2 linked regions of the Macaca fascicularis genome follow. The protein of the gene in region 2 purifies or fractionates together with the protein of the main gene of each other region. This does not show direct contact. Links are inferred from orthologs where the notes say so. Each region holds a gene or a part of one and is shown on either strand. Other genes may lie near its edges.

Region 1 (4,279 bases), on a different chromosome or scaffold from region 2:
ATTTGGGTGGAATCTCCAGCCTCCTCTACAGGAGCCCAGTGCAGGAGGACGTCATTGTCCTAGGGGAAGGAGGGAGGCGGGGTTAGAGGCGCTCCCCAAACCACATTCCCAAAACTTTCTGTTGCAAATTTCCAAACTTTCCCAGTTTCTACCCTCGGCCTTTCAAAGTCCCGCCCCTCATTCCAGTTCCCACCCCCAGCCTTCTTCAGGTCCCACTGCTGACCGCCAGACCAAACTCCTACAGTTGCCGCTTGCATCCCAGAGCGCCTGCATCCCGCTCGGAGCGGGTTCGAGCCCTGCTCCCTCCCAACGCACCTTTTCCACGACACGGATAACACCAGCGATGAGGGAGTCTCGGTCCTGATACTTCTTAGCGCTGGTGTGCAGGTACACTCCGCCCTTCTCAAACACCACCTGAGTTGGGGGGAACCAGCAAGGGCTGAGGCCCAAGAGAAGGCGACCAGCGAGGGTACCGGCCTGGGGAGCCAATAGGGACGGGCCCAGGGAGGAGCCATCCCCAGGGGGCGGGGCCGGGAGGGCCATTGCCCAGGGACGAAGGCGGGGAGAATGGTCCAGCCCACGTTCGGATGCTGGCGTGCGTTCCACAGAGGGCAGGGCCCAAGGAGTCGCCTGAGCCGGGGGGCGGGGCCATGAGAGGTTCTTCCCTGGGGCGGTAGACGGGAGGGTGACGGCGCGTTTATAAGAGATCGGAGTTTCTCAAGTGCACTCGCAAGGCCTGAGGGAAGAGCTCATCACCAGACGGGGCGTTTCGCATACACTGAAGCGAGGGAATGCGTCCTCAGTGCTTACCCTGTAGCCGGCTCCTTCCATAGTCGCCGCCGAAGGCCCCACTGCCCCGCCTCCTCCTTTTCCGAGTCAGCGTGTGGTCACTTCCGGAGAAAACAGTTCCCCTCCGGACCGGACAGTGGTAGCGCCCCGACCAGTTCCAGAGAAAGAGTGGGTGAAACCATTTTTCCAGAAGGGGGATATTCCACTGGAACTTCGAGGGTGGATCGGAGCCACGTGGCGCAGACGCTGAAGGTGGAGCCGGCTACGGAGAGTGCGCAGGCGCAGTGTTCTCCCTCTCGCCACGAAGTAAACAAGTGGGAGGGTCTGAGAGCTGCACCACCTGGGGCAAGCACGCCTCGAAACGCCCACTTCCTTCTCCATGTTGTATACTGGAATTGAAGCCAAGGAGGTACCATTTTGCTCGAGGGCATGGCCTAAGCCGGTCGGCTAAGGCCATGTTAATACGGGGGTGTCCCATCTCTCTGCGGGGCGCGACAGCTGGAAGAGCCGAACGGATAAGAGAAGAGGAGGTGAGAGGAGCTGTACACCACAAGAGGCACTGAGGGACTCGGGATAACGGGATGAAGCCGTCAGTGCCCCCAGAAACGAAGCGGCCCCAAACGAATTTCTGAGTCACCGTCGCGAGAAAGCGGGCTGAGCCGCCATTTTGAAGCCTGGCAAACCGAAGCAAGAAATGCTGCCGTGTTGGATCTTTGCCAGCTTTGGTGCTGAATGGGAGCAGGTTGGAGGGAGGGAGAGCCAATGTACACTATGGGCTGATTAGACCGGTTGGCTGCCATGTTGTTAACGAGCACCGATTTCCTCCACTTTTGTCGAAGAAGTTTATCGTGGGTCAGGGACGTCAGATCGCTTGCCTTCGTTTGCTGTGGTCATGAGCGAGCTTATGAGGACGGCCATTATTGTTGGGGGCAAATGGAAATGCTCTAGGCGAGAAAGCTGAAGCGTTTTTTTCGCCATTTTTTTTATGGGCACGCTGCCGTCGCCATTGCCCACTGGTTCGGATGAAGCCCCTGTGGCCGCCATCTTGATCTCGGGCGGCCCCGATAAGGGAGGCGGAGTGTACAGAGAGGAGGCGGGGCAACTACGCGGACGTGACGCAAGGCGCCGCCATGTCTTTTGAGGGCGGCGACGGCGCCGGGCCGGCCATGCTGGCTACGGGCACGTGAGTGGAGGCGGCGTTGTGAACCGCGGTGTGGGGAGGATTTGGCCGTCCTGAGGCAGCGGGGCGCTGGGAGGGCGAGCGGCTCACGGGAGGGGTATGGCCTGCACAGATCAGAGGGCAGAGGTCCGCCAGCGACCCTTTGCTGAGCGCTGGAAGGGGGTCGCTTGTGGGAATCGTCCTGTCAGACCTGAGGCAAATCCTAGACAGCCTCACCTTGCGGTGTCCAGAGCGCCTGGGATCTCTACTTGGGCCGTGGACCACGTCCACGGGGTCGGGGAATGGGTTGGGGGGCCTCGGGGCGCCCCTCACCCTTCCAAAGGCGGGACTTCCGGTCCTGGCCTCCGGCTGGGCGGGATTTCCTGTTTTCTTCCTAGACCAGTGGGTCCTCCCTGGACCACGGGCGAGGTTGGGAGGTCTCGGGGCAGCTGAGCCTGGCCCCAGGCACTCACCCCACCCGTGGCTACCGCGTTCATGCTCGGGTTCCTCACATCTTGGGGTGTGGGGCACTAAAATTTCGACAGGAGGGATGGTTCCACCCTTCTTCTCCTTAGCTCTTTCCCTCCTCCCCGCATCCAAAGAGGACAGCCACATCGTGCTCCCCCTCCTGTGGGGAACACGTCTCACTTTCGTCTCATCTCTCCCTGATCTTAAACGAAACTTCTCCATCGGGGCGGGTTCTTCCTCCATCTCTCAGCTCCTTGGAGGAAACAGGACCTCCTCTAGAAGCTCAAGGGTAAGGAGGACCGCCAGGTCTTGGCTACTCTCCTGTTGGGTAACATTACAGGTGCCCCTGGACCTTGGCAGAGAGGCCTGTGGAAGTCGCCTGTCGTTTTTGCTCATGTCTCCTGAGTTGGGGGAACCCTCACAACCCACTCACCCTATTTCACTCTCTTCAATCCCGTGGCTCCTCCAAGATTGAGTACAGGCAGGGAGTTTTATCCTGACGTCCTCCTCCGGGACCCCCGCTCCCCTTCTTCTCCGAATGTCATTAGGGGCTGCGGGCCCATGGAAGTGAGAGCCCCAGGCCTAGCACAGCCAGGCAGTTGACTTTGGACCGGCCACTTCTTGCTTCGAGCCTCAGTTTCTTCCTCCATCAGCTAGGAAGGACATGAGGGGTGTGTTTGAGACACTGGGTACCCCCCAGTTCATTGGGTTTTGGAGGCTGGGCAGTCAGCGGTTTCAGCCCCACTTGTGCCCTGTGTAGCTGTGTGCTTTCTTGCCAGTGTCCTAAGCTCTCTGAGCCTCGCTTTTCCATCTAGATAATAATATCTGCCCTCCTAAAGGCAGGCAGGATGGCGGTCAGGATTTAGAGCAGGCCCTGGATCTAGACTGTCAGAGTCCAGGTCCCAGCCCTGCCTCTTCCAGTTGTGGGGCCGGACTCTTCAAGATGCTGACTGTCCCTGGGCCTGAGTTTGCAACTGTAAAATGGAGTGAACTGTAACTAAAACTCCTGCCTCATAGCGTAGGTGAAAGGGTGGGATGAGAAGGTTGATCCCATCTTGGGTCGTTGCGTGGCTTCTGGGAAGTGGTGGATAAACCTCTTACTTCCCTCGGGGCTTTGAACTCCCTGAGTGAGTCAGATGGGAGGTGAGATGCCAGGTGTGGAATCCCAGCACTGAATAGGTGCTCAGCAAACACCGATATCTATGATCGTGAGTCATAAAGGGCCTGCAAATTTCATTCAAACTCCAGACTCCCTGCTCCCTTCACCCTGGTGGGCTGGACCACAGCTGTGCCTGAATCCCTGCAGTGGCAGTGTGCTCACTGCCTCCCCAAGGAGCCTCTTCCACAGCCCAGCAGCTCTGGCTCAACCACTCTGGTTAATGGGGAAGAAAATGAGGCACAGAGAGGGCCAGTGAGCTGTCCAAGGTCACACAGCAGGTTTGAGACAGAGTCAGGGCAAGGACCCGGCCCCCCTACCCTCGCTCTTCTCACCCGGTAAGGAGATGCACCCTGCATTGTCTGCTTAGGGCCAACCTGTCCTGTGAATACAAATCCCTGACCTTGGGAGAATTCACAGTCTGATGCAGGAGGCAGCCAGGGTACAGCTGTCACAAGCTCTGGTGACCTGAATGCTCATGGAGGAAGCCCACAGCATCAGATGGGCTCTGGAAGGCATCTGATGCACGCTGGGGGATGAGGGACGACAGAGGACCTGCCCGAACAGTCTTGTAGGAAAAAGCCACGTGGATTTCCCAGCACAGAGAGCGGCACCAGCACCATTTCTTACCTTTGTTCAGCTCCGACTCTCGCTGAGGCCTCAGTCATGGAACCAGCCAGTTCTCTCTGGAAGGAAGTGTGCTGGGA
Region 2 (3,806 bases):
CACCGCTGCCACCACATCTAGCAATGTGAGTGTTCTACAGCAGTTTGCCAGTGGCCTGAAGAGCCGGAATGAAGAGACCAGGGCCAAAGCTGCCAAGGAGCTCCAGCACTATGTCACCATGGAACTCCGAGAGGTGCTTCTGCGATTTGGGGCCAGTCATTGTGGGATGTTTGGGCTAAATGTATCATCACTGGTTTAGACTTTTTTTGGACAGCTAAGCGAGGATTTGGAAAACAGAGATTATTTTAGAAAGGCACTCAACCTCTCACATCCATAAAACATGCAGGTTCTTTTGCAGCAGTTGCACATTTCTGTGGCATTTTTCTTGTTTGTGGTCACATTTTAGGGGCCAGAATAGACTTAGCTGTTTCTTTTAGCTTTTTCTTTTTTCCTTACCACATACCACACCCTCAAATGCTTTCTGTCTGATAACAGTGATTGGGATGGGTTTGGAGAGTTGAGAACTAGGGACTTTCTAAATAGAGACCAGACTTGAGGTCAGAGACAGTATCTTGTTTATCCTTGTATCCCTGGTACTAGAAAGAACCTAGGACAGAACATTTTCTGCCACAGAGTAGATACCCAATAAATATTTGTTAAATAATCAGAGGATTGCAAGTTCAGGTGCTCTACAGTGTAATCCTGTAGAAGTGGGCAGTAGCTTGTCTTCTTTGGTTTGAACTATACTGCCTGCCTCTCAGGATCTAATCTTTAGATGCCAGCCCACTCCCACCACCACAGTCAGAGAATTACTAGAAATTGTTCTGATTATATCTTCTTTTGCAGATGAGTCAAGAGGAGTCTACTCGCTTCTATGACCAGCTGAACCATCACATTTTTGAATTGGTTTCCAGCTCAGATGCCAATGAGAGGAAAGGTGGCATCTTGGCCATAGGTAAGGACAGAGTCTCTGGCCACAAAAACAACACACTCACCTTTGTGCCCATTGCACCCTGTGTCTGCCACTTACTGGATGCTAGTTCATATTTGCTTAATGAAATTTAAGAAGCCTGTGGCTTTTAATTCTAGCAGCAGTCCTGGGCTACAGGAAAAACGTATTTTTAGATGTGGAGGTGGAGTCTCAGAACCATTGAGTGACTTTTCAGACAGTTTACCAGAGCTGAGACTGGAAGCCAGCTTTCTTTTCCCTCCTTCATGTTGCGTTTTGTGGGCTCTGGTTCCTCAGTAGAGCAGGGTTTTGCATAGTGGGGCTCACGAATGGAAAAGTGGAATCGGTATAGTTAATAAAAAGCAGGTCTCTTTTTTTTTGAGATGGAATCTTACTCTGTTGCCCAGGCTGGAGTGCAGTGGTGCAATCTTGGCTCGTGGCAACCTCCGCCTCCTGGGTTCAAACGATTCTCGTGCCTCAGCCTCCCGAGTAGCTGGGATTACAGGCACCTGCCACCATGCCCGGCTAGTGTTTGTACTTTTAGTAGAGACAGGGTTTCACCATGTTAGGCAGGCTGGTCTCGAACTCCTGACCTCGAGTGATCTGCCCACCTCAGCCTCCCAGAGTGCTGGGATTACAGGTGTGAGCCACCACACCTGGCCAGGCAGGTCATTTTTAACTTCTAAGGACTGGTCATCAGTCCTGTGAATTATTATCCAGTCTCACTTGCTTTCCCTTTTTGGGGGACTAGGGAGGAAAATTATACTAGCATAAGATTATTTTGCTGTATGTAAATATTTCTGGCATAAGTATTAAATATCTGGGTTAAAATAAAAATTGTGTCCTTGCCCTCTAGAAGTGTACTCAAAGTAGAATGGAGGGATCACTTGCCAGCTTTTTTTTCTTTTTTTTTTTCCTGAGACAGAGTCTTGCTCTGTCACCCAGGCTGGAGTGCAATGGCGCAATGTCGGCTCACTGCAACCTCCGCCTCCCGGGTTCAAGCAATTCTCTTGCCTCAGCTTCCCAAGTAGCTGGGACTACAGGCGCATGCCGCCACACCCGACTAATTTTTTGTTGTTGTTGTTGTATTTTAGTGGAGAAGGGGTTTCACCATATTGCCCAGGCTGGTCTCGAACTCCTGAGCTCAGGCAATCCGCCCACCTTGGCCTCCCAAAGTGCTAGGATTACAGGCTTGAGCCACTGCGCCTGGCCAGCACTTGCCAGCTTTTAGTTGAAGTCTGTGTACTTTCCTGGTCAGCCTATGCCCCATCATCACCTTTTGCCTTCCTCTCTTTTCCAGCCAGCCTCATAGGAGTGGAAGGTGGGAATGCCACCCGAATTGGCAGATTTGCCAACTATCTTCGGAACCTCCTCCCCTCCAATGACCCAGTTGTCATGGAAATGGCATCCAAGGCCATCGGCCGCCTTGCCATGGCAGGAGACACTTTCACCGCTGAGTATGTGGAATTTGAGGTGAAGCGAGCCCTGGAATGGCTGGGTGCTGACCGCAATGAGGGCCGGAGACACGCAGCTGTGAGTGCCTGCAGGGAGGAGCACAGCCAGGCTTGGGGAGCGATGGTGTCATGGTGGGGTCTTTTGCTTCCTTCTGAGGCTCATCCCTGAAAAAGGCTGGTTAGAAGGGCTAGGATTCCAGGCTGTGAGATGGGGTAGAGTCCGTCCTTAAGAGAGAATCTAGCAGTGGTGTGGTAGGGATCAGAAGCATCAGCCGCATGCTTTCCAGTCTGCTGCCCTTCAGAGGAGGCACTACTGTGAGGGGGGGGCATGGTACCAGGAGAAGGACACACACTTGGACCCTGGCTCAAGTCTTGGCTTTACAACTTCCTACCTAACTCTGTAACCTGGGGCAGCTTCTGACCTTCAGTTTCTTCCTCTGTCAAATAAAAATAACAACAAGATTAAACATTAAACAGGATTATCCATTCAATAATTGTTTACTACATACCTACAGTATTCCAGGTAGAGTTCTATGCTATTAGTATAGTGATATAGAAAGCATAAAACACATCTGCACTTCCAGAGCTTATATTCAAACATTACAAGCATTCTGTGTTTGTAAACAACTTAGGATAATGACCACTGAGATGTTTAATCAAATTTACTTTCTTCCTCTGTCCCCAGAATTTCCTAGCTGGAAGAGTGAGCAAGCCTTCTCTGTTCCTAGTGTGTATGGCTCTAAGATGATAAAAGACCGTACTCCTGAGAGAACAAAGCACTGGTACCGACGAGAGTTCTCGGTTTGTCTTTTTCTCTAGGTCCTGGTTCTCCGTGAGCTGGCCATCAGCGTCCCTACCTTCTTCTTCCAGCAAGTGCAGCCCTTCTTTGACAACATTTTTGTGGCTGTGTGGGACCCCAAACAAGCCATCCGTGAGGGAGCTGTGGCCGCCCTTCGTGCCTGTTTGATTCTCACCACCCAGCGTGAGCCGAAGGAGATGCAGAAGCCTCAGTGGTACAGGGTGAGGAGATGGGTCCATTCCCAACACTAGGAAAGCACGTCTACATAGAGAATCACCTGGCCTAAGGGGCAGCCACAGGCCCTTGCTATGGAGCAAGCATCAGTTTTTGTTTTGGTCTCAAATGAATTTTTTTTTTTTTTTTGAGCTGGATTGCCCAGGCTGAAGTGCAGTTGCACAATCTCAGCTCATCGCAACCTCTGCCTCTCGGGTTCAAGCGATTCTCCCACCTTAGCCTCCCGAATAGCTAGGACTACAGGCGTGTACCACCACGCCTAGCTAATTTTTGTCATAGAAACAGGGTTTTTCCATGTTGACCAGGCTGGTCTCGAATTCCCAACCTCAGGTGATCCACCTGCCTTGGCCTCCCAAAGTGCTAGGATTACAAGCATGAACTACCGTGCCCGGTCTCCAGTGAATTTTTTATGCTCAGTATGAATCAATAG

What was found.
Region 1: the proteins of MTOR (region 2) and AKT1S1 purify together in Homo sapiens (affinity purification with western blotting; 8 studies listed by BioGRID and IntAct, with this or other methods). This does not show direct contact. The link is inferred for Macaca fascicularis from reciprocal best matches to the Homo sapiens genes MTOR and AKT1S1.

The regions. Positions count from the first base shown.
Region 1 is NC_088393.1:57,857,663-57,861,941, reverse strand, and holds the start of AKT1S1 (proline-rich AKT1 substrate 1), read left to right. Parts: upstream 1-1,200; 5' UTR 1,201-1,919; coding exon 1,920-1,972; exon of another isoform or gene 1,973-4,279. Other genes in the region: TBC1D17 (TBC1 domain family member 17), read right to left, coding at 1-59, 316-414, 811-831. UniProt on the Homo sapiens protein: Negative regulator of the mechanistic target of rapamycin complex 1 (mTORC1), an evolutionarily conserved central nutrient sensor that stimulates anabolic reactions and macromolecule biosynthesis to promote cellular biomass generation and growth.
Region 2 is NC_088375.1:223,550,811-223,554,616, forward strand, and holds part of MTOR (serine/threonine-protein kinase mTOR), read left to right. Parts: coding exon 1-133; intron 134-786; coding exon 787-895; intron 896-2,189; coding exon 2,190-2,422; intron 2,423-3,162; coding exon 3,163-3,363; intron 3,364-3,806. UniProt on the Homo sapiens protein: Serine/threonine protein kinase which is a central regulator of cellular metabolism, growth and survival in response to hormones, growth factors, nutrients, energy and stress signals.